Linked DNA regions of Coturnix japonica. The protein of the gene in region 1 purifies or fractionates together with the protein of each later gene. This does not show direct contact. Links are inferred from orthologs where the notes say so. Each region holds a gene or a part of one and is shown in the gene's direction. Other genes may lie near its edges.

What was found.
Region 2: the proteins of CTBP1 (region 1) and zinc finger transcription factor Trps1 purify together in Homo sapiens (affinity purification with mass spectrometry; 3 studies listed by BioGRID and IntAct, counting the BioPlex papers as one, with this or other methods). This does not show direct contact. The link is inferred for Coturnix japonica from reciprocal best matches to the Homo sapiens genes CTBP1 and TRPS1.
Region 3: the proteins of CTBP1 (region 1) and EHMT1 purify together in Homo sapiens (affinity purification with mass spectrometry; 3 studies listed by BioGRID and IntAct, counting the BioPlex papers as one, with this or other methods). This does not show direct contact. The link is inferred for Coturnix japonica from reciprocal best matches to the Homo sapiens genes CTBP1 and EHMT1.

Annotation. Positions count from the first base shown.
Region 1 is NC_029519.1:76,690,298-76,698,311, forward strand, and holds the start of CTBP1 (C-terminal-binding protein 1), read left to right. Parts: upstream 1-2,466; 5' UTR 2,467-2,574; coding exon 2,575-2,632; intron 2,633-8,014. UniProt on the Homo sapiens protein: Corepressor targeting diverse transcription regulators such as GLIS2 or BCL6. Has dehydrogenase activity. Involved in controlling the equilibrium between tubular and stacked structures in the Golgi complex.
Region 2 is NC_029517.1:121,431,324-121,438,855, reverse strand, and holds part of zinc finger transcription factor Trps1, read left to right. Parts: intron 1-2,903; coding exon 2,904-3,965; 3' UTR 3,966-7,532. UniProt on the Homo sapiens protein: Transcriptional repressor. Binds specifically to GATA sequences and represses expression of GATA-regulated genes at selected sites and stages in vertebrate development. Regulates chondrocyte proliferation and differentiation.
Region 3 is NC_029532.1:1,220,793-1,228,324, forward strand, and holds part of EHMT1 (histone-lysine N-methyltransferase EHMT1), read left to right. Parts: intron 1-948; coding exon 949-1,094; intron 1,095-3,759; coding exon 3,760-3,903; intron 3,904-5,378; coding exon 5,379-5,605; intron 5,606-6,049; coding exon 6,050-6,214; intron 6,215-6,382; coding exon 6,383-6,465; intron 6,466-7,532. UniProt on the Homo sapiens protein: Histone methyltransferase that specifically mono- and dimethylates 'Lys-9' of histone H3 (H3K9me1 and H3K9me2, respectively) in euchromatin.

The DNA of each region.
Region 1 (8,014 bases):
CATTTCAGCTTGTAGGATTTGCTCACACTGCTATAAAAATGTTGGAGATTCTCTTTTATTGTGGTATCTCAAAGAGTAAAGCTCATCCATTCTTGAGATAGAGCTAAATGCTCCAGGCTATAATTGCCAGAGGCATCTTCTCTTAAAAAATATCTTCAAAGACTAGGATCATCTGTTTAATTGAAAGAAAAGCTATAATATTCTTTTCAATGATATATATTTAATCTTAAAATTGTGCTGCACAAACAGGTTCTGTATGCTGATATTTCAGATGGCTTTGTAGCCACTACTCATCGTGCAGTTAGGCAGTACATATCAATATATATTCCGAGTTCATTTGGATTCTCATTGAGTTAAAATATTGAAGTGTGCTCTTAAATACTTCTTGTTCTAATTCCCTGGGCAATGGGCTTTTATTTTTAGTGAATTTTTCAAATACAGTTATTCATGTTGTGGTTTAGTAATTGCAGTTAACAAACGCTCCATAATTAGAATGTTTTTGTTTTGCTGGGGAATGTTTCCCATATCATCTTCTCTTTGGATTAGAACACGAAATATAATAAAATTGTGTGAGGGTTACATTTAACACTGTGTTAATATGTTAATTTAATTTTTGCTCAAACGTATTTTTTAAAACTTACAACATCTTGCCGTGGATAAAAACCAAACAAACAGGGCTTTAAACAAAGCTACTTGATTTATGCGGTACGCTTTGAAGCTACTGTAGATGGATAGAAAGCAGCTGGTGACACTTCCAGCGGTAGGGCAGTAGTTACAGATGGGCTGCTTTTTTACAGCTGTCAGCCAACTTCGTACATAGAATGACTACAGTGGAAAAATCTTGGGCTGAATGAATAAACAAAACTGAGCGCAAGGAGGACAGAAGGCATATATGTTTCTACAAGACAGGAAATTAAATTAGCTATAAAAATTTAAACCTAGATTAGCATTGGAAACATTCAGTGTATTCTGGTTTTTGTTTCTTGTCCTCTTTTATTTTCCTTCTTCTGTGTCTATTGGAGGTGGTAGGTTGTAAAACAAAGGTAACAGGCAAAGAAATGCTAGTTTGGGGTTGACACGAGTTTGGCACATTGACTGAAGGAAAGGCAGGTAGCTATGGCTAATTTTAAAAAGCATTTAACCGCATGTTAGATTTGGTGTAATGCTCATGTAATCTTGAAGCCATGTTCAATATTGAAGGATGTTGTATTTTGCAGGAATAATCAATGTGAGGCACTATAACAGGAAATTTACTATACAGCAGTGTTTTGTTTTATTTTTAAAGAGAAATTTGGCTTCAGCATTCTTCATCAATTTCTGCTGTCACGATGATTATGTTCAGCTGTAGTCAGACATTGTGCAGAACATTAGAACTCTTGAATCTGAGGATAAAGGAAAAGGTGGAGGGAGAGTGGGTGGGAGGATGAGGTTGAATAAAGCGATAAAAGCATGATGAATATTGCACATTGCCTTCATCTTCAAGTGAAAATAAACACGGAGAGGAGCTTTGTTTTAAAAATCCAAAAGCAGCAAGCAGAGTACGGCTGGAAGAAGATAGCTGTTTTAATGCAAATGTGCAGTGCTTCATATTCAAAATATTTTTGTCACTTCACCTCAAGAGTCTTTGTGAGGTGTTGACTAAATGTGCACTTGTTTGATTTGATTAAAAAAAAAAAAAAGGAAGAAATCAAGGAAGAAACAAGCAGATTTCTAGGTTTGGTCACTTGCAAAGCCATGTAATGTTCACCACTGATGTTGAAAGCTCCTGGGAAGGAATAAAAGGAAACAGGGAAATGAATTATTTGGCCTGTGTTTGTATGCACCATGCTTGTAATACGTGTTTGGTTCTCAGAGCCTATTAAGTTCTTACAGGGGACAAATGCACTGCTCTTATTATGCTTTTCCAAGGATCTCTATAGCTTTACCCATTCACTTGCTCCTGTGTGTTTTATTTACAGTGTACATTTTGGTGAGAATTTTGATGCGGGATGTTTCTCCTCTCCCCACCCCCTTCCTGCAGGCTTCGTGTTGTGTTACCCTTCTGCTGTCTTGCCCAGCTACGCAGGATCTGAAAAGTGCTTAGTTGTGTGTGCTGCCAAAGAGCTTGCCTAGTCATGCATGAAGCTGTTTTAAATGCCATTTGCTTGATATAGATGTTGGCAGTCTGTGCTCTCACTGGGATGCACATCTTCAGTTATATGTTTCTTGAATCGTGACCCTAAACTTCCCAGTATCAAACTCTAATTTATTCTAATATCATGGAGTTAAGGATGAGAGGAGCATTTCCTTGATTGCTTTGTTATGATGCCTTCCTATGGGGAAGCTTATTGTGAAATCCCAGGATACCAAGTATATTTAGGAACTGTGAATGTTTTCTTATTCTTTTAAGTATACATAGGTCACTCTTCTGGAAAGGGGTGGGAAAAAAACCCACTATATTTAAGAAATCTGTCTTTCTATTCACAGGTTTAAAAAACAAACAAGTTTATAAAAGGCAGAAAACGTTTCTGAGTTGTGGCTGACTTGAAGTCCATCATCAAACTGTGCGGAGACGTTCTCTGAGCTTCCCCTCTTATGTCTCTAATGGACAAACACAAAGTGAAGCGGCAACGGCTGGATCGCATATTTGAAGGTTGGATATTTCAATTTCTAAGGTTGCATTCATTTAGTGGATTATAAATATTTCTGAAGGTCAGAACTCTGCTCGTTTGGTCATTCAGTGTATTTTTTTAATTGAGATGTGTTTCCTGTTGAAATCCTGTTAACTGTGCAGAGGTGTTGGGTTTTGATGAATAAAAGCAAAGAGTGTGGGAACTCTGTACTGTTGTCCAGTTCCGTTTCCTTCCAGCTCAGCATTTTAAAACGTTCTGCCAAGATGTTGTGAAAGCTTGTGGGTTTGTATAAAATAACAACCACAAAAGGATAAGGAGACCACATAATCCTCTCCAGGGTCTTTCTCTACAGATATGCTTCATATAGATTGATTTAAGAGCCCATATCTGGTCTTAGTGAGGAAATGGGAAAGAAGTTAAAGAAAAAAATCCCAGAAGACCCCCAAACTTAATGAACGTTAATAAAAATACCAAGATCTTGTGAAAGGAGTGGAATCACTTGCATCAGTCAATTAATCTTGAATCACAGTTGTGTGAATTGTATGTTCCTGGTGTTCTTTGTTTTCTTTCAGATTTGATGTGAAAACAGGCTGAGGGATAAGTTGTATTTTGATGAATGCACAAGTGGTTGAGGCTTAATGATGTTTTTTTAATACTAGATGCTTGTTTCTTCTTAGAAGGGATCTGTTAACTTCTTTACCAAACCCGTTCTGGTATGACTGGAGTAAGTGTACAGACTGTTGGATGAGTAGTTTTTGCATCATGCCTAATACTGAAGCAGTAAACTGCATTTGAAGCAGCTGTGTTGGTCGTCAGCAGTCACTGGTAGCTTTGTTGTATCCTCCTCTTTTCCCCTTTCTTTGTTACAATATGAGTGTACCCATATAATGAACCAAAGTGGAAGAGGACCAATACTAAAAATACAATATTTTGTTTGAGAATTTTTTTATGTAGGTGAATTCCTCAGTCTAGGTCACAGCTGACTCACGAGTTGCATTGAAATAGCAGTTGGAAAGGAGGAATGAGGGGCACATGGACAGTTCCTTATGACAAAGCCAGAGAAAGGCATTTCATCAGAGTACCAGAGGGTACAATTTCGTAAGTGATGTAATCTCAACAAAAAGTAGCTTAGTTCACCCTGAATACTTGATCCAAATTGGTCTCATGTCACTAGTTGACTGATTGGCCAAGGTGTCAGCTTTATCTGCTCACCAAGAACTGGGGAGCTGGCTGTTGAGGGTGGGAAATTGGGAAGGATGTCCCTTCCTCTGGACAACTCTGTTGTAGGATCAGATGGAAGTGACCTATGGGTGAGATGCCACAGTGCTTTGTGCTGTTCATCCTTTGGTCCTAGGTCCTCATTCTAGAGTCTCTGTGTCTGACCTTACCAGAAAACTTAAAGGTATATATTTATTTTATTTTTGCCTATTTTAGTGTGAGCTGAATTAGCAAAGCATGAGGAGACGGAAATGAGAGAGGACAGAGAAACCTGTCCCTTCTGAGGGCACCCACAGCTGAACTGAACTCCACCATTCTCTTAGGGTCACTATATTTGTCAGTTGGATGACGTAAGAGAAATTAGTTGTGATGATGTGGCAAAGAATGCAGTCGGGGTGGAGGTGGCAGACCGTTAGGTTCTGTGACTGTATAAAACAGCAGCGGCTTCCCTCAGGCTGTGTGTTCACATGTTGTGACACTGTTTAATCACAGCCATTTGTGTGGCTTGTTTTCCCAGCCTTACACAATTCACTGCATCCTAAAATCTATCTGTGTGGCCATGCGCTGCTGGGAATTGATGCAGTTGAAAAATACAGCAGGAATGAAGTTTTTTAGCCACTTTGACTTCCTAATCCCCTTTACCATATGCTGGATAAATGCTGTGTTGTGGGAGTGGGAAGATGAGGAAGAGGGTAAACAAGAGAAGAGGGGAAGAAAAAATGGATATGGAAAAATGCTTAAGGTTTTCTGGGTACAGGAATTCAGTTTGACTGTGTAAAACGTCAGATCTATATTCTGCTCCTGATGTTCTTAGAGGTTTGTAAACATCTCTGGCTGATGTTGTTAGATCCGTGCCAGTGTGTAATGTAGGATAAAAATGAGGGGGCAGGTTTGTTTTTAGAAAAGCTGTTCTCTCTATGTGGTCCTGTTCAGGTTTAAGAATCAAGGAGTTCTCGGCACGTATTTCCCATAACACAGCCTAAGTATTTTATATTTTAGGAGGATGCATAATGTTTCTTTTAAAGCTCAGGAAACTTAATGAGCTGTACAGCTATTAAAGGTGGCTTATCTTCTCTGTCAGCTTTTTTTTTGTTCAACAGTCCCCGTAAAGCTTTCTTTTCTCTCAACCTTTTGGCTCAGAAAAAAAGAATTATTTTTAAGATGGATTTTATTGCAAGCTCACTAAAAGCAGGTAGCGGTGGTTTGCTAATTACTGCTGCTGTTTATATGTATATTTTTAAATTGTTTAACATAAAAACTTGTGATGAGCAGGCGTTTGTGCGTTATTGCATCTATAAAGAGATGCCAGCGGTTTTGTGACGCACCACATTTCATTACTGTTTGTCTCACTGCTCAAAGGAGGTGATAGCGAGTTGAAATTCAGTTGCTAAAAATTGAATGGTGTGGGACTGATTCCCCAAATGAGATGTTGGTGCAGTGAACATGTGCACAGGGCTGCACACAGCTTGTTCTGTGCAGTTAATGGATCGCCACAAGCGCTCCTGGAAGTTACAGGGCTGTGCACTTTAAGTGCTCTGTGAGTTGAACTGTTTTCCAATGGCTTTTAGCAATTTGCACACTCGCTTACAGTAACGAATCATGCAAATTAAGCAACCAATTGAACAGGCAGCATCGGATTTACTGTTCTCCCAAGTTAATGACGGCATGGGAGCGCTACTACTAAATTTCACTTAATACTCAGCGGAGAAAAAATCTGACTCTATTACTTGGGGAGCAATTAGTTCTCTTTTAATGTAGTTGTGTAAGTAATTTTTGTCTCTGAGGTACCTATGATTCCCTTCAGTGGTTTCTTAAATATGAAATTGAATATTTGCCTTTCATCCTGAAGCTATTTTCAGGGTTATTTTTTTTTCCCCTGCTTATTCGAATGGTGTGCCATGTTCTTGCATGTGTTGTCTCCTTTACACAGTTCTATAAACCAGCTTTGACTTAAGTAAAGGCAGCTGGACTGTCCCTTGAAGAAGCCAGATATGAAACTGTGGTTTTCAGCTTCCACTGGTAGCCATGAAGTCTGCCTTGGCATAACAGCATGGTCCTGGGCAGACTGAGATGCTAATGTTAGACTTGTTCACAGTCGATAAAGTAGCTTTTAGGCTTCTTCTCTTGTAGAAAAATAGTAACGAGGCACGTGAAAGATGTTAGTTATTAGTTACTGATTATATATAGTTATTAGTTACTGATTATATTGTTCTTTGTCCCCCTCTCCAGTGAAGCTGATGATTGCAAAGCATAATTATAGCAGTATACATTTGGCAGAACAGTTGGAAGTGTCACAGTGCAAAAATAAAATGTGTTCATTTTCTGAGTAATCTGAAAAAATCTAAATGTTTTTGGCATTTGGAAATGTTGTTATCTCTAATTAAGGTATCATTGCACTTCACATTGTAACAGATCTGTAAACAGTGCTGCATGTTTGCTTATATTCTAGAAATCTTTAATTAAGTGTGTGCATGTTTTACTGACCATTGCTTGGAAGTTACCTTGGGGATGTGTGACCTGGTGGTTTGCTAGGAGCTAACAGATGAGGTAGGAAGGCAATGGAAGGCGGCTACAGCATGAGGACAGTTCTGCTACATCTGGATTCTCTGTGAACAAATTGTGAGATTGATTTTTCTGGTTTGATAGCTTGAAACAAAGAAAAAATGATTTGCAGGCACCTGGTACACAGAGAAAATACCAACGGTGCATGTCCAACAGGTCAGTGAAGACCCTGCATCACCCCTGACAGACGTGACGTGGTTTTCTAGTTCAGCTTTTGGAAGTAAAAAAGACATCCTTGCACACCCAAAGCTTCTCAGCAATCCTTACAATCCCTTTTCCTCTTTCTGAAGCATTGGTATACAGCTTAATGTCATTCTTTCTGCACAGGTTGCCTCTTCCTTTAAGTGCCCAGAATAAAGCTTGGAATGTGTTATAGTGGTTTTAACAGCGTGGCTTTATTACTTAAGGAAAGAGGAAGAGTTGAACGGGGTTCCTGAATTGAAAAAGAAAATGCATATTAATGGCACGTGTTTCAGAAAGTTCAGATAAAATCTCTCATCTTTTGCTTTTACGAAGGACAGCCTTTATTCAGGGAAGTCTGATTACTGGTGAGTAACTGAACATTGTGCTCTTTAAAGGACAGAAATGTACATGATAAAGGAGTAGTTTCTTTTCAAGGATACAGACAAGGTTTTCTGTTTCCATCAGAAAACAGGTGTTCTTAAAGCTCCTCTTCCTGTTTGTGGTGCTGTATAATATGAGATCTAATAGGATGCATCTTCATAGTTGATGTGGTGTGTTGGTGACTCCAGGTGTGAGCAGAACCAGGTTTTCGTTCTACATTTATGAGCAGGTCTTGAAATACAGAGTGGCCAAAAGTTTGAAAGCTGCATTCTGGATCCAGGTCTTTCTTGTGCTTGTAGCAGAGAGCCCAACTTCTTACCACGTGAAAGCAGCAGGTTGACAATGTATGTACTCCATAATATAATGACTGTACTCCATGACCACTGCTGGAGCCCATCTGGTGTACCTGAGCTGTGACTTTGCTCATTGCAGCTGTGAAACTGGGCAGTTTTCAGGGTATTAATGAGAGCAGCAGCCTGCCTGGCCATTGCTTGGCTTCTCCTGTTAGGGAAAGGAATTTTGCTGAAGATGGTTTGTACTGCATATCTTAATCTGCAAAGAGAAGTGGAATAAATGTTCTCAGGTGTTGAGTACTCTTCAGCACTTCCTTATGTAAGTGGATATTGCAGGTGTTATTTTCTTTGGAAAACTAGCTATAAATCTTAACTGGTGTTTAGATTTGAAGATGTTCGTAGCTGACTTCCTGCAGGTATTAGAGAACAAAGGGACATCATACAACTGCGGACAATCGTATGTCACACAGCACTTTATATGCTTTTCTTTAGGCATTGTGTTCATAGTGCTGGGCATGCTGAACATCCCGTGTGTTGCTTGAAAGAACAACGATGGGCTGCTTTGCTGCTTGTCTTTTTTCACAGACTTGAGAAGAAAGCTCACTGAAGGATTAGGGCAGCAGAGGGAGCTAAAAGATTCCTAATATTTTATTGTTTGTTGTTTCCTCAGTGAAAGCTGCTCTGTCACGAAGTACCAATTAACCTTCACCAAAAATGTGTTTTTCAAGCCCAAAGTGCCTTTAGCAAATAAATAAGGACTCTGAA
Region 2 (7,532 bases), on another chromosome or scaffold:
CGATCGATACTTAAGAATGTGTATAATACACTTATCTCTACAGTCTCATCTTTTACTGGTATTTAGTAAGGAGAAAAATCCATGATCTGTCCAATAGTACTAAAGAAATATGGACTGATAAATGCTAATATTGTAATGATTCCTGTTATGAGTCACATTTCCATTTCTATCAATATACCTATGGATCATTTGCGTGAATCTTGTCAGATGTTTCACATTTTTCTCCCTTAATGCAGACAAATAGGTTATGAAAAGTGTAATAATATTTAAACGGTCGATTATTAAAATAGTTTAAGTGAAGAAAGATACTTCCATTTCAGTGAAAGCACATACACAATGTTCACAATTACTGGTGTGGAAAAGTATAACCTTTTTCTCTCCAGAAAGACATGAATATGACCACATACATTGCAGTGTTATTCCTCTTTGTTTAATAACTAATACAATCATGAAAAACTAGATTATGTTGAGTAGAGATTTTTCGGCCAAATTCTCAGACTACTTCCTTGAGGGATTACGGTATATTACTCTAGGGTTAGATATAAATGATCTCCTGGTGCAGAAATCACAGCAATTTCCCATCATATATAGGAAGCCTAGACAAAATAATTCTGATTAGTGCTGAATTTCCTTTCTTATTTTTTTTTTAATGTTACTTATGCTTTTGAGGGATGGAGATTACCAGTTGATACAGAGATAGGAAAAAAAAATTGTACTAAATATACTATGTGTAACATGTAATTAAAGGTCTGATATAGGACATTTGAAAAGGAGAATTCTGGCAATTTCTGTTTTTTAATATGAGTGCCACATCGATGATCTAGAAGCGAGTAGATTTTTTCATCTTTTCTTGCAAGCACACGTTATATTGCTGTCTGCCCCTTTTTACTATAAACAGGAAATGTGTGTGTAGTGTTACTCCACTGTGTTTGCTGTTTTAACCAGCTGAAGACTTGTCAGCAGGATAGTCTCTGTCATACTTAAGTATTGTTAAGTTGTACCTACAGACATTAATTCCTGGCAAGTGAGTTGAAGAGCCAGAAATGCAAATATGCGTGAGGATCCTCCCTCACAGGTGTGAAGATGATTCTTTTAACTGCTTGCAGGATCAGATTTCACACCTGTAGCAAGGTTAAAACTATTACCATATCTCTGCAAATGATACTGTGAACCCATATGAAAGTGTTCTGTAGTGTATAAATCAATGTTTAGTGTGAGCAACCTTCAACAGATTTGTAAGTTCTGTCACACTTTGTCCATATGACAGTGTCGACAAAAAGTAATTTAAACTGAGCTTGTAACATGTATATTAATTGGCGATCGAATCTGCAACTATAAACTTTATTTGCATAAAGTATACATTGAAAATATTCTAATTTAATCTGAACATGAATTTGCCTTGGCTTACCTTGGTCTATTTGTGACTGTTTCAGATGCTCTTTTTCTGATAAGTTGAAATTTTGTGTATTCAGACTCTAAATCAGAGTCTTTTTATTTAGATTTTTAGTAGAAAGTAGAATTTGATCAAGTAGCTGCGCTGCCTAAAACGTGGTTAACCATTAAAAATGAGTAGACATCAGGAAAGCAAATAGATGAAAAAAGAGAAAATGATATATCAAGAGAGAAGTAAGTATAAGAGTGAGAATTCCTCCAGTTCTGGATACTTTTATATTAATACATAAAATTATGTTACATTTAAGTTACAAATTGTTTTGGATATTGATTGTAGGCCAAAATTTAATCTGCACTTTAAAACAATGTTAAAAGGAAAATTCCCAAGTAAACATATAAGTAGAACACTTTATGGGGCACTTCTTTGGCCTCCAACCAAAACAGGATTATGTGTGCATTTGGATGAGACAAATGGCAACTCAGAACACCAAACTGAATAACTTTTAGGTAGTTTCTGTTGTTTTAACATCTGCCCAGTAGAGCAACACATACTGACATTACAGTACCATCTTTCATTCACATACCATTCCCTTCCTGCTGAGGGCCCTTTCAAAGTGGCCTGGCTGCTCTCCTACTTCATACTATTTTCCTTCCTTCACGCAGAAGTGTTTTCAGCTCTTCTTCAAATAGGCCACCTACCCTGAGCTGGTGTAGGGAAGTATCAAATGGAAACAGAAGGCCCTGCTTGATTCTGCCTCTTCCTGGCTGTTTTTTTCTTTGCAGACCCTTTCCCTCCTTCTGGGTGCTTCCTCTCTCCCTCATGTAGCACAGCATTGTAACATTTGGGAAGAAATGCACTAGGAATGAAGAAAGAGGCATTCGTGACAAAGTCCCAGCATCTTTTTGGAGCTTAAGAAAACATTTTCTTCTTCATGACCCTTTTTTGCCATCATTATCTCCAAAGCAGATCTGTATCCCCTCTCCTAGTTAAAAGTGGTGATAATCATCAAGTCATGTTTTTACTGTCATTTTTTATCTGTAGCAAAATGGGGTGGCTGTAAAGGTAAGTTCTTGTTGTAGAGTGATCTGTGCAAACCCCTGCCCAGTACCAGCTCTCATGACATAATATATGGCGTAATGCTAGTGTGTAGAGTCATGCATCTCCCACCTAATCTTTAGCTCTCAGCACCCTCTTTCAGCAGATCTCCCCCAGGCTTTTTCAGAAATAGGACAACTTGGATGCTTCATCCTTTTCTAAGTAAACAGGTATAGTACATCTGTGATGGTTCACTTAGTGTAATAAAACAAAGCAATTCACGATTTATTTTTAACATGAGGGCCCAAGTAGCAGCCTTTTGGTTCACTTTATTTGTGAGAAATGGTAATTTCCTTAAAACTCTCTTATATCTCTTCACAAAAGAAAAGATAAATTTGCATGAACCTGGTCTGCTAGATGTGTTTAATATCTCTTTCTTTTTCCTGTTTGTTCATTATGTGTGTGTTCCATGCAGACTCCCAGGCCTTTAAACATCATTAAGCAGAACAATGGTGAGCAGATCATAAGGAGACGAACAAGAAAGCGCCTTAACCCGGAGGCACTTCAGGCTGAGCAACTAAACAAACAGCAGAGGGGTAGCAGTGAGGAGCAAGTCAATGGAAGCCCCTTAGAGAGGAGGTCAGAGGATCACTTAACTGAAGGTCATCAGAGAGAAATTCAGCTTCCCAGCCTCACTAAATATGAGGCCCAAGGTTCATTGACTAAAAGCCATTCTGCTCAGCAGCCAATACTGGTCAGCCAATCTCTGGATATTCACAAAAGGATGCAACCTTTGCACATTCAGATAAAAAGTCCTCAGGAAAGTACTGGAGACCCAGGCAACAGTTCATCGATATCAGAAGGGAAAGGAAGCTCAGAGAGAGGCAGCCCAATTGAAAAGTACATGAGACCTGTGAAACACCCGAACTATTCACCACCTGGAAGCCCCATTGAAAAATACCAGTACCCACTCTTTGGACTTCCGTTTGTACACAATGACTTTCAGAGTGAAGCTGACTGGCTGAGATTCTGGAGTAAATATAAGCTGTCTGTTCCTGGGAATCCACACTACTTGAGTCATGTGCCTGGCCTACCAAATCCTTGCCAAAACTATGTGCCTTATCCCACCTTTAATCTGCCTCCTCATTTTTCAGCTGTTGGATCAGACAATGACATTCCTCTAGATTTGGCGATAAAGCATTCCAGACCTGGGCCAACTGCAAATGGTGCCTCCAAGGAAAAGAGTAAGGCACCACCAAATGTAAAAAATGAAGGTCCCTTGAATGTAGTAAAAACAGAGAAAGTTGATAGAAGTACTCAAGATGAACTTTCTACCAAGTGTGTGCACTGTGGCATTGTCTTTCTGGATGAAGTGATGTATGCTTTGCATATGAGTTGCCATGGTGACAGTGGACCTTTCCAGTGCAGCATATGCCAGCATCTTTGCACGGACAAGTATGACTTCACAACTCACATCCAGAGGGGCCTACACAGGAACAATGCACAAGCTGAAAAGAATGGAAAACCTAAAGAGTAAACCTTAGCACTTAGCACAATTAAACAGAAATAGGTTTCCTTGATGGGAATTCAATAGCTTGTAATGTCTTGTGAAGACCTATAAAGCACTTCATATAGAGAGCATGCCTTATCCAATATTAAACCCCTTGTCTTTTCTTTTTCTTCCTTTTTCTTTTTTTTTTTTCAGTTTTTGTTTTACTTTATCTTTTTCTTTTAAATGAGTGGGTTACCAAGAAAAAAAAGAACAACTGTATGGTGGCCTGAAGGTGGAGGAGATAGTAATATGGGACATGGCCCACCAAAGCTAGCCAGAATGCAGTATACCATGGCAAATAACTTTGAGAACATTTTACCGGACATTTGATATCTTTGCTGTTTTGTAAGAGACATAACTGGCGAGAGTGCAAAGATGTGTGTATGTATATACTGCTGCAGAGGTATAGTGAGCATATGCACATTGTATATAAGAGCTAGACTTGTTAAATATACAGATGTTAAAAGGTCACTTTCTTTTTATCAATTTGGGCTAATTTCTGCCCTACAACATGCCTTAGGATCACTTTCCTCAAAGCTTTGGCAGCAATTTCATCTAGATGTCTCTCAGACTTAGCTGATTTTTAGCTACCATTTTATCTCTACATCCTTTCTGGCATACTTCAGTCTAGGAAAACCATTTTGTGCTAGTGAAGTCTCTAATACAGAAGCCACACTCCGGGTTTAATTTGCGTGGAACAAGGTAACCTGCTGTATTTTATTTTAATATATTTTAATATATTACATTTCTAAACCTTAAAGTCTAAGGTTACTTCTCCACACTTAACATTGCTATACATACCAGTCAGTCCCTTCAGTAGACTTATACCAGCTTTTGCTAAGTAGCAGTAAATGTCTTCATAGTACTTTTTAATACTTAAAGCTTTGTAAAAACTGTCCATGAAGGGAAAGCTCCTCAGCATAACTGCTCAGGGAAATAGGGCTAAATAACTAAATATTAAATAATTGGTTAAAGGTGCTGTTAGACGAGCCTCCATGCTTGCTACAAGGGTGTACAAGAACTGACTTTAATCATTTTCATTATAGCGTCCCAACCAGTAGTTTATTATTTTGCCACAGGGATGTAGAAGATATTACAAGCTACTGGATGCACTGTCAGATTAACTTATTTCATTAAAGAAGTTGGGAGAACAAATAGAAAAAAAACCTTATTTTTCTAGTAAATATTAATGTATTACATTTCAAATAATGGTGCCTGACATATTGAATAATTATTTTCTACAGTGTACGTATGCAACAAAGATATTCCATCATGCATTAGAGTCAGTTCTGGCTCTGCCTCGCTGTTTACATTTGCAAATGTAGCAAACAAGGTAATGAAGCAACTATTTCTATTGCAGTAGGTATCTTTTTTTTCTGTGTGTGTGCATTAAAGTTGTAAACGATAACATGAAATGAATGAAATTTGTTGATATTAATGGTATGGAAAAGCAAGAAGGAAATGAAAATATTTTTATGCCTACTTAGGAGAAAAAGGGTAGCACTATTCATTCCAAGTACTTTTGTATTCTTAAGCTCTTAACTCACATTGTTATGCTTAAAATGATAAACATATATCCTCTTTTTATTGCTTTGTCTGTGTTTCAGAAGAAACATTTCAGAAATTATTTTGATAAGTGCTGTTTGACGATGCAGCGCTGATGTTTTATTGCATTCTGTAGTAGCATTGCACTCCATTTTTACAATATTACGCAGTTGCTTTTTTGTTTCGTTTGGGTTTGTTTCTTTTTCGCAGTGCAGGGTCTTAGCTCCTTATGGTTGGATGGCAGGTGTAGCTCAACTGGTTCATGAATGTTGCAGCGAATGAAGTTTAAAATGTCTTTCTGATACTATGTTGTCTTTTATTTCTCCATTCATGCATTTTATTTTTTAAAATGTTCTATGAAAGTATCTCTGGACTAAGTCCTCACTTGAGATTATATGTAAAGGGTCCTATTCTGATCTCACTTACATGCCGCCTTTCTCAGATTTTCATGTAATTGAAACTAAAGCATCATATAAAAAAAAAGAAAAAAAGAAAAAAAAAATAGTTCTTGTATTTAACATACCTGAATCTCACCACTCTCCCTTCTAGGATTTGGTGCACTTACTTATAAGATACTTAACCAGATAGACAGGGAGGTGGATGATTAAAGGAGAGGTGATAGGAGATGATGTCTTACAGGGGTTGGCAAAAGGAAAATGGGGAGGAACTGGCCTAAACATTCAGCACTTTGATAGTCTTTTGAAAAATAACGTGCCTAAAGGAGTGACCATCACCATGCATGAGAAGCACTTACACAGCTGATCACCAAAGGTCTCGCTGACCTTGGCAGTATTTCAGATGTTAACGTTTTCACATAGATGAAACATTATTGCACAGTTTCTCTGATTTGTTAGGCACAGACAGGCTATTGTTCAGCATTAGGCTTGCATTCCTTCCTGCTCCACCCATTGCTTCTATACTGGTGAGCAGCATATGGAAAATCCCACTCAATCCATTCATGGTTGAGTTCTATAAACCTTTATTAGTGTTCTAGGTTAGCAAAGGATATTGGGCCACATTCTTCTTATTCTATTTTTAGATGAATCTCCTGCTTGATACCATTGCCAGACAATGTCTGGTTATGTTTTTACTATTGTTCTCCAGTAATAAGTTCTGACTTGGTTTTTGTTGATTAATTTTTGTTGGGTATTTTTTGTTTCCTTTTTTTTTTTTTTTCTTTTTTCTTTTTTTTCTGTGGGGACTGAAATAGATTACCCTTGTTTTGTTACGTCAGGGTCCAGTGTGTGTCCTTTTCAGCTTTTCCAAGAAATGTTAGGCTCACTTAGCAGTGATGTTATTGGCTTCAGATTTAGCTGCCTGCCGGTTATCAGTAGTTACTGTTTTGACTTACTTCTTCCAAGACCTACCTGTGGCTTCTTCACTGGTAGAAGCTGCATCTTCATGGCAAAATATGTTATGGGGGACATGCGCATTATAAAACTTGAGCACCGCCCTGTACTTCATAGTATCTCTTGCTACTCAGAAGCAAGAGGCCAATAAGGAGAAATACACCCATCAGGGTTTGGGGATGAGGAGAAATGAAATGTTGAGAGTGCAAAGAACAAGACAGTTTTTGATATTAATAGTGCACCTAGATAGTGCAAAGAAAATTTGAGGAAAGTGTGTTATTCTTGCCATGACATATTGAGATGTTCTGAGATTTCCGTTTCGTAAAAAATGGGACTTTGCCATAGCCTGTTCTCTTTGATTGGGATGGGGGGGGAGCACAGTTTTGCTTATTAACAAAAACGAGGTGATGCCATTCCTATTCCAGTCCCCTTACGATGGATATTAATCAAAAGAAGAATAAATCCTGGCATTTAAAAATAAATATCCGCTGAAATAACTCTCAGTTGGAAACTGTGTTAGCACACACAATTAATTAGTGCACCCACTGCAACTTACAGCACTAAAACTTAATAGCTTCAAAGAGTCTTTATTTGGTTTTAGCATTCCAGTGTCTTCGAAGTCAAAGTGTAGTGCTTCTCTGACTTATGAGTGGTTATT
Region 3 (7,532 bases), on another chromosome or scaffold:
CAGCAGCACACTTCCTTCTCACTGTGACTTAAACCCATAACAGGCTTGTTCAGGAAAAGCTTGGGACGCTGCAGGGTGAACTGCAGGTAATGTTTGAGGGTTTAAAACCTTGCAAGAGATGTTACAACTGTGTAGGACTAAGGTAGGTGTGTGGGACAAAAAGTAATCCCTGTGTCATCGGGTCAGTGTCTTGTGGTCACACATAACCTAGTAAATGAGTTGAATCCAGAGGGAGAACCTTCACAATGTTCCCCCATTCCTGGCCATGTGTTCACTTAAAAGTCATTGTCCACCTTTAAAAAGGTTTGGAAGTGTTAAATATCTGAGAGAAAGAGATGAGGAGAAGGCAAGAAGATCCGAACATCTTGCTGCTTTCTTTTCTCTGGTTTGTTTTCTTTCAAAAACAAGTAAAAAATAAATAAAAATTACATCTATATTTTGGTTCTGTGAGACCAAATAGTCCCAGGAATTTTGTTTTCCCGTTTGCATTGTAAGCTTCTGCCAATAGTAGTTTATGCTTTCCTGATCTTCTCTATTTAACACTCCCCATACTACTCAAATTTCCAACTCTAGTTTGTTTCCTACCGATTTCCTGGTGCAGAGCACAGTGCTGTGGGACAGGTGAGAAAGAGACAGACTGATAAAAATCTGTACCTTGTAGCTTTTCCGTGTTGGGGTTTTCTCAGGATCAACTGTTCTTAACAGAGTGTTCTTGAATCCAGAGCTGTCATCTGTGGTGTCACTGGACTCAGAAAAGCACAGTATGCTTTTGCAGATTCCATCTGCTGTAAGAAGTGGGTCTTTTTTTGCAGGGTTTAGATGATGCCTTTAAAGCATTTCAGGATGTGGAACTGGAAGATGCCATGAGACATGAATGGTGCTGATGGACTGCATCCTTCCTCCTGGAGGGTAACATGAGAGTTGATTTACTGATCTTCTGTACTTTAGGTCTTTCCAATGGCCCTGAAGCAATGGAAGTAGATGGTCTCCAGGAAGTTCCCCTCTGTAGCTGTCGAATGGAAACCCCCAAAAGCAGAGAGATCACCACGCTAGCCAACAACCAGTGCATGGCCACCGAGAGTGTGGATAATGAGGTAGGAACCTGTCTTTCAGCTTCTCGCAGACTTTTTTTTCCTGAGGACAAAGACATAGTCAAGAGATAAAGCCATGCCAGGGGCATGCATCAGGTCACGCAGACGCTCTGCAGCATGCTAGATTGGGAGCCCAGTGGTGTGGGCACGGTGGGGCAAACACCTCCCTGCAGCACTCTGCATGTTTCGCACACTCTGGTTAAAGCCACTCCAAAGTGAGTAGGTACAATTTGCGGGGCTAGCTGGAGAAGCACTGGGTGGATCTCCTGCTTGTCCTGGCTTGTGTAGCTGGATCAGCTGGATGTAACAAGCACACTTCAGGCCAAGTGGGCTAAAATACATTAGCATGCATCAAAGTGAGAGAATCCAATCGGGGGAAGCTTGGAGCTGGTTCCCTTGACTACAAAGGAGCTGATGCAAACCTTTCCGTAGCCAGCTCTTGAGTTTCTGGAACTTGGCATGCCTTCTGCCAGCTCAGTCTCCTTTGGCCCTCCACTTTCCTCCTCCCCCCCAAGAGACTTGTGTTACTAAGCTTCCTATGTCCTGGCAGTCCTGCGCAGCCTCTGTGGCTGGCTGGAAACGTTGCACTTGATGCCTCTAAATTGATCACAGCTGGGCTAGTTGGGCTCTGCTGGTTCTGAGAAGGTGGAATTAAGAGGCAAAAGTGACTCCCTCTCAGAGTTTGGAAAGGAAGATGGCGTGACAGAAGCAAACTCGGGAGATGCTCCTTACTCTGGAAGAAACTGGCGTTTCTTTGATGCATCAGCTGAGCTGCAGCCATGCTGCAGTGCTCTGATATTTACTGATAGAAGGACAAGGAGTCAGAGCACTCCTGGTTCTTCTGGAGTATCACAGTAGAAGGGTGGATGGAGGGAGGAAGGGGTAATCACATTGACAGCCCTGCTCTGCTTCTGTTAGTACATGCTGGTACCTATAGAGAAAGGAATTTCACTATCGTGACAGAGTTGGTAGGTGAAGGAGGGGATGCCCTGGAGACTCGCAGGAGAGAGGGTTCTCCAGGGTTTCTAAATAAACAGAAAGAATACAGAGGAGTTCCTGTGGTTATCTGGCAGTTCTTCCCCCAGATAAATCAGATAAAGGAATAGTGAAGGCCGTGCATTCTGTTAGATTCTTTTTGGTAATGGGATAAGTGACTCATAGATGTGGTAAGGATATTACATGTATGAATAGTGGGTTCAGTAGACAGTCATGTCCTTGGATAATGTTATAAATAGTCAGGAGCACCACTACACTCTCTAATGGCTGGAAAATAGCAATTGATCATTTTGTACTATTTTAGACTTTTCTAACAAATAATATGTTGTGACAGGATGATGCAGGGACTTCCTTATGCAGACAGTGCAGCTTCTCCTGCTTTAATCAGATTTCCTCCACTCATAAATAAAAATCAATGGACTGGTCCTCTCCTGCAGCCCCTGGGGTCTGTGTGTGAGCAGTGATCACTTCAGGTAAGGTGTCACAACCGCAGGTAGGCTTTGCAGCTGGAGTTTGGGTAAGCTGGGTCAGAGATGCTAAGGGAGAAGAGCTCAGGTTAAAAACAGTTCTTTGTTGTTTGTTTTTTTTTCCCTGTAGGTGTGTTGATTGTAGGAGAAATGGAGTTTAAAATAAATCAGGGAGTTTAGTTTTACTGAGAAAAAGCAGTGAATCAGACCTCAGCTACAGAGCAGGAGGGGCAGCCTGCTAGTGAGGAGCAGACACTGTGTTCCTTACGGACTGCTGTGGTGATGGAGGCAGAGTGCAGTACACCACGCTCAGATTCTGGTAGGGGTGTTTCCTCCTATGAACTTTTCATGTTTATGTTTCTGTGCTGGAATTGTCCTTTGCCAAGCACTGGGAGAAAGCAAGGTTTTCATCTGAAGGGATTTAGAGAACTCAAACAATGTTGTACCACGCTGACAGGTGGCAAACAGGATGTGGAAGGTTTATAGGTGTACACAGGGGTGGCAGGAGGAAGCCCCAGTCCTTGAGGCACAGCAGAGTGAGTGACACTGCTGGGAAAAGCCCTGCTGATGGAGCCTGCTGTCACTGGCAGAGCAAGGTGCCAGAAGACAGCTCTTAGGCCCGAAATGATACACTGGTGAAATGTTGCAGAAAGCATGCTCAAAATCTGACTGGAGCTGAGCTCTCATGAACGACTGGCTCTTCGTCCCTGTGGTCTGGGCAGGGGCCAGTGCTGGAACCAGTACAGACGATAACATAGCTGGCAATGAAGAGCAATTATTTTTCCCTTTATCTTCCTGTGACTTGTACTTTTGAACAGTAACAAGATTTAGCGCGTATGTTCTTGTTCTCTTGGTCACTGACACCCGCTCTTCCTGGCAAAAGCAGAGAGTGTATTGTGAGTCAGGCCCCTGGGACTGCCCCCTCTGTGGCTGCTTGGCTGTTGCGTATTTCCAGTTATGATTTTTCTTGCAAGGAACAAATGAGTCCGGTCCACATGCATGTTAGTTAGTAAATGATGCATTTCTTCCTGTGAGAGCAGCTTTCACAGCTTCCTGCTGCCCTGCTAATGCTATCTGGCACACATCTGAATTACTGTGAAAAAGCCAGGGCTCATCAAAGCAGTGTGCAAAATCTTCCTCCGCACAAGCACAGAGAGTGTTTTGGTCTCCAGTAATTTCATTTCCTTTAATTTCTCCTGTTCCAGCTGGGCCGATGCACAAACAGTGTGGTTAAGTATGAACTGATGCGCCCGTCTAACAAAGTCCAGCTTTTGGTGCTGTGTGAGGACCATAGAGGGAGGATGGTGAAACACCAGTGTTGCCCTGGCTGTGGATACTTTTGCACTGCAGTAAGTCCGTGCTCTCAATCTAGGGAAGGGGGTACTTGTTGCAGTAGCTGGAAGAGGTGAAGGTGGAGATTTACCCAAAGGGGTTTACTGACTTCCTGGCATAAGCTCCACCTCATTCCACAGCACATCAGATGGCATTTTCAACAGTAATGTGTTTGAAAGTAGCTACAATGCTCACCTGTAACTTCCTGGAGACCCCGAGGGGTGTCACCGAAGGGGTGGAATTCATACCTTTGGAATTTTTTTGGAACATTGTTTGTTTTTTTTTTTTCTTCCTCTGTGCAGTCAATCACATCACAAATGGTGTTAGCCTTAGTCTGCATACAGGACAGGGGTTCTGTCCCCCGTGCCGCACAGTGAGGTGGGGGAACCAGAGTGATGGCACTGGAACAAGGCAATGTTTGAGATCTCCTCCTCCTTCTCTACCACTGAGGTTTTAATAGCATTGGCCCAGTGCTTTGAGCCATCGTTGTCCTTGTTTCCTTGCTGGTGAAACACTCATTGAGAGCCTCCCGGGGTGATAGGGTGGGTTAATTGTCTGATGTTAGCGTTCTTAAAGATGACTCGATGAAAGGTATTAGAGTAGTCTCAACATTATTATAACTGTAATAAATGGTACCATCCCGAGTTTTCATGCTGAGTCAAAGATCATTTGAAAGATATAATCCTCAGAACGCTTGAAGACATTTTGCAATGCTGAAATAGTTAATAAGATGTCTTGGGAGGACTGTGAATCCAGGAGAAGAGTGGGTTTAAACTAACTTTTCCTTAATGCTGTTACATCTCTGAGTGACCTCATAGTTCATAAAGGTGAATCTGGCAGTGTTTGTGTTATCAGTCACTAGTAACACAGAGCACCGTAGGGCTTTAGGTAGCACTGATATCACAGAACAGTGAGTTCTGGGGTGCAGTTCAACTTGGAGGACTTTGCTGGAAAGAGAAGATAATTTGTAGAAAGGTGGCTCACATCTGTCAGCAGATGGGGTTAAAGAGCATACAGGGCTGGTCCAAACAGAGGAGTTGCATGCTTTGGGTAACACTGGGGTTGACAGCTGATGTAATTGTATCATTGTTGTTCCTTGAATGGTTTGTGTGCAGATGTGTTTGGTAGTTTTAGTGCTGACTGGTTTGAAGTTTTCTTTTCCAGTATTGGGAGCGTCCTTACAGTACACTGGCACTTCTAGGAACGTAAGCAAGAACCTCAAGTGTTAGAGCTGGAAAATGGGACTCTGTGGTTCTGTTTCCCACGTGCAATTAAAAAACTTGCTTTGCAGTTCCTAACCAAGTGAGTTTTTTCCCATTACCTTGGTTTTGTTCTCTTCTAAAGAAGTGGCAGTGCTTGCTTACTGTACTGGAAGCGCGAGGGACAAGAGAGGTCGTGAATGATGTGTTTAAGAGCTCTGCGGATGAAGCATGTGGAAGGGGTAAGGCTCGTAGTGACCAAGGTGTGAATATCTTCTCTGTAATTTTTTTAGGGCACTTTCATGGAGTGTCAGCCTGAGAGCAGCATCTCCCACCGTTTCCACAAGAACTGTGCCTCCCAGGTCAACGACACGAGCTACTGCCCACACTGCGGGGAAGACGCCTCCAAGGCAAAGGAGGTGACAATAGCAAAAGCAGACACGACTTCCACGGTGTCACTGGCCTATGAGCAGCAGAAACCAGCAGCAGTGGAGGGAAGGGCTGACACCACGACAGGGAGGTGAGCTTGGGAGCTCGTGGCAGCCTCAACGCTTGTGCCTCAGCCCTTCATGTGGAGTACTTAGCCTGAGGTGTTTAGCTGCCCCCAGCAGTGTGTACAGATGCAGAGAGTCAAAACTTAGAGGAAAACATAAGTGAAGACATCCCTGTGATGAAGAGTGCTTCAGCTTCCTGTGTGATCTGATCTTGTTCTCAAGGCTCTTATGACTTGTAGTGAGCAGGGCAGTGCCCTCAGCCCCATGATGTTCTGTTGCTTGTTGCAAAGAGTACATCGAAATGTAGTCATAGGTCAATGCAACTCTTTACCAAAAATGGCTGTAAAATATCTTGCTTTGTGTTACTCTGTCTGTCAATTTAAAATCAATTTCCTTTCCTTCTTTGGCATAAGATACACACAGCGTTGTATATTTTTAATGGCTGTGCTTTGGCTCTCTCTCATTTTCAGTGTCACTGGAACGCGGTTGTCTGAGGAAGATAAGCCAGAAAGTTCGGCTGCGGAGGGATTTGACTTAGCTGGATCTTCAGTTTTTCCAAAGCCTACTACTAGCCTGACCCAGGGACCAGTTAAAGAAACTCTGGAAAGTGCCCTGATTGCCCTGGACTCTGAAAAGTAAGGAATAAGCCATCTTCTGAACAGTTGATGTTCTTTGGTTTTGCTGGCACTCTGGAGCTGTACCATAGGAACAAACTTTCTCATGCCTATGGTGTGGGTTGGGCTAAAATATTGGGGAATATTCTTCAGCGTGTATTAATTCTGCCTCTTTCCCCATTGCTGCAGACCCAAGAAGTTACGGTTCCATCCAAAACAGTTGTACTTCTCTGCCAGGCAAGGAGAGCTGCAAAAAGTCCTGCTTATGTTGGGTAGGTGGCTCCTTCCCAGGACGCGGTGTGTCTGGCAGTACTCCCAGCTCCTGCCAGGCAGCTGCCAGAGCCCAGTTCCCAGCATGGCAGCACGTCATATTCCCCACTGCCCCTTGTGAATGGTGTTGGGAGGAGAAAGCCACTTTTGCAAGCAATGTGTCATCAGAAATGGCTCCATCTTTCTGTGAAATATGGGCTTGCTCCCAGCTTGCTTCTGCGTTTGGACGCAGTTTTATCCAGAGAAGCTTTCTCTACCCCCAAATGACCTATGTTTGATTTTTCCAATCCAGTAGAACTTTGCCTCCCCGTGCTGTGGGATGGTTGGTTATTTGCATCCAGTGCAGAGGTAGAAAGATGGGAGTGTGATTAAATTAAGACCAGTCAGCAAGAAAGTGGAGAAGAAGAAAACCTCAGTACAGAGGTCTTTATTCTGGGGGTACGTAACTGTCACCAGATGACTTTCAGCTGATGGGGTTGTTTTTTTTACCAACAAATATTCCCAAGGAATAGCAACCTGTGAAGGACACGATGTTTTACTTGGGGTCGTTTCCTTTCTACTCCAGTACTTCACAGTACATTTTTGGATGCTTTCTGCTCTTTTGCATCTATCACTCTTTTTTTTTTTTGTTTTTCTCCTTGCAAGTATTGGCTTCATTGTTCCTGTCTTCAATAGAACCAAAATGTTACTCATTGATATTTAACTACGGCCTCATCGTATGCAACATGTTATCATGCCCAGACATCTTTGTCTGGCTGTCATCATCATCTGTCAGTCTTTGCACAGCTGTGAGAATTTCTGGCCAGATCTCGAGTTCGTGTTGGAGCTCCATCCTCTTTGCAGCCCTTTTGCTTACAGCGATGCAAAAAGGATCACTAGTACTAAGTGCAGTTAATCATGGTCCTGAGACAATAAAGCTGGGTGCTGCTGACGCTCAGTTGTTTCCAGCAGCAGCACTTTTTTTCCCCTTTTTTACCCTTGCACAGTGTTGATGGTATTTCTTGCAGTGAGAGAAGGGGAATGAAGGAAGTGGCCTTTGTAAGAATAATGCCTTAAAAGTATTATATTC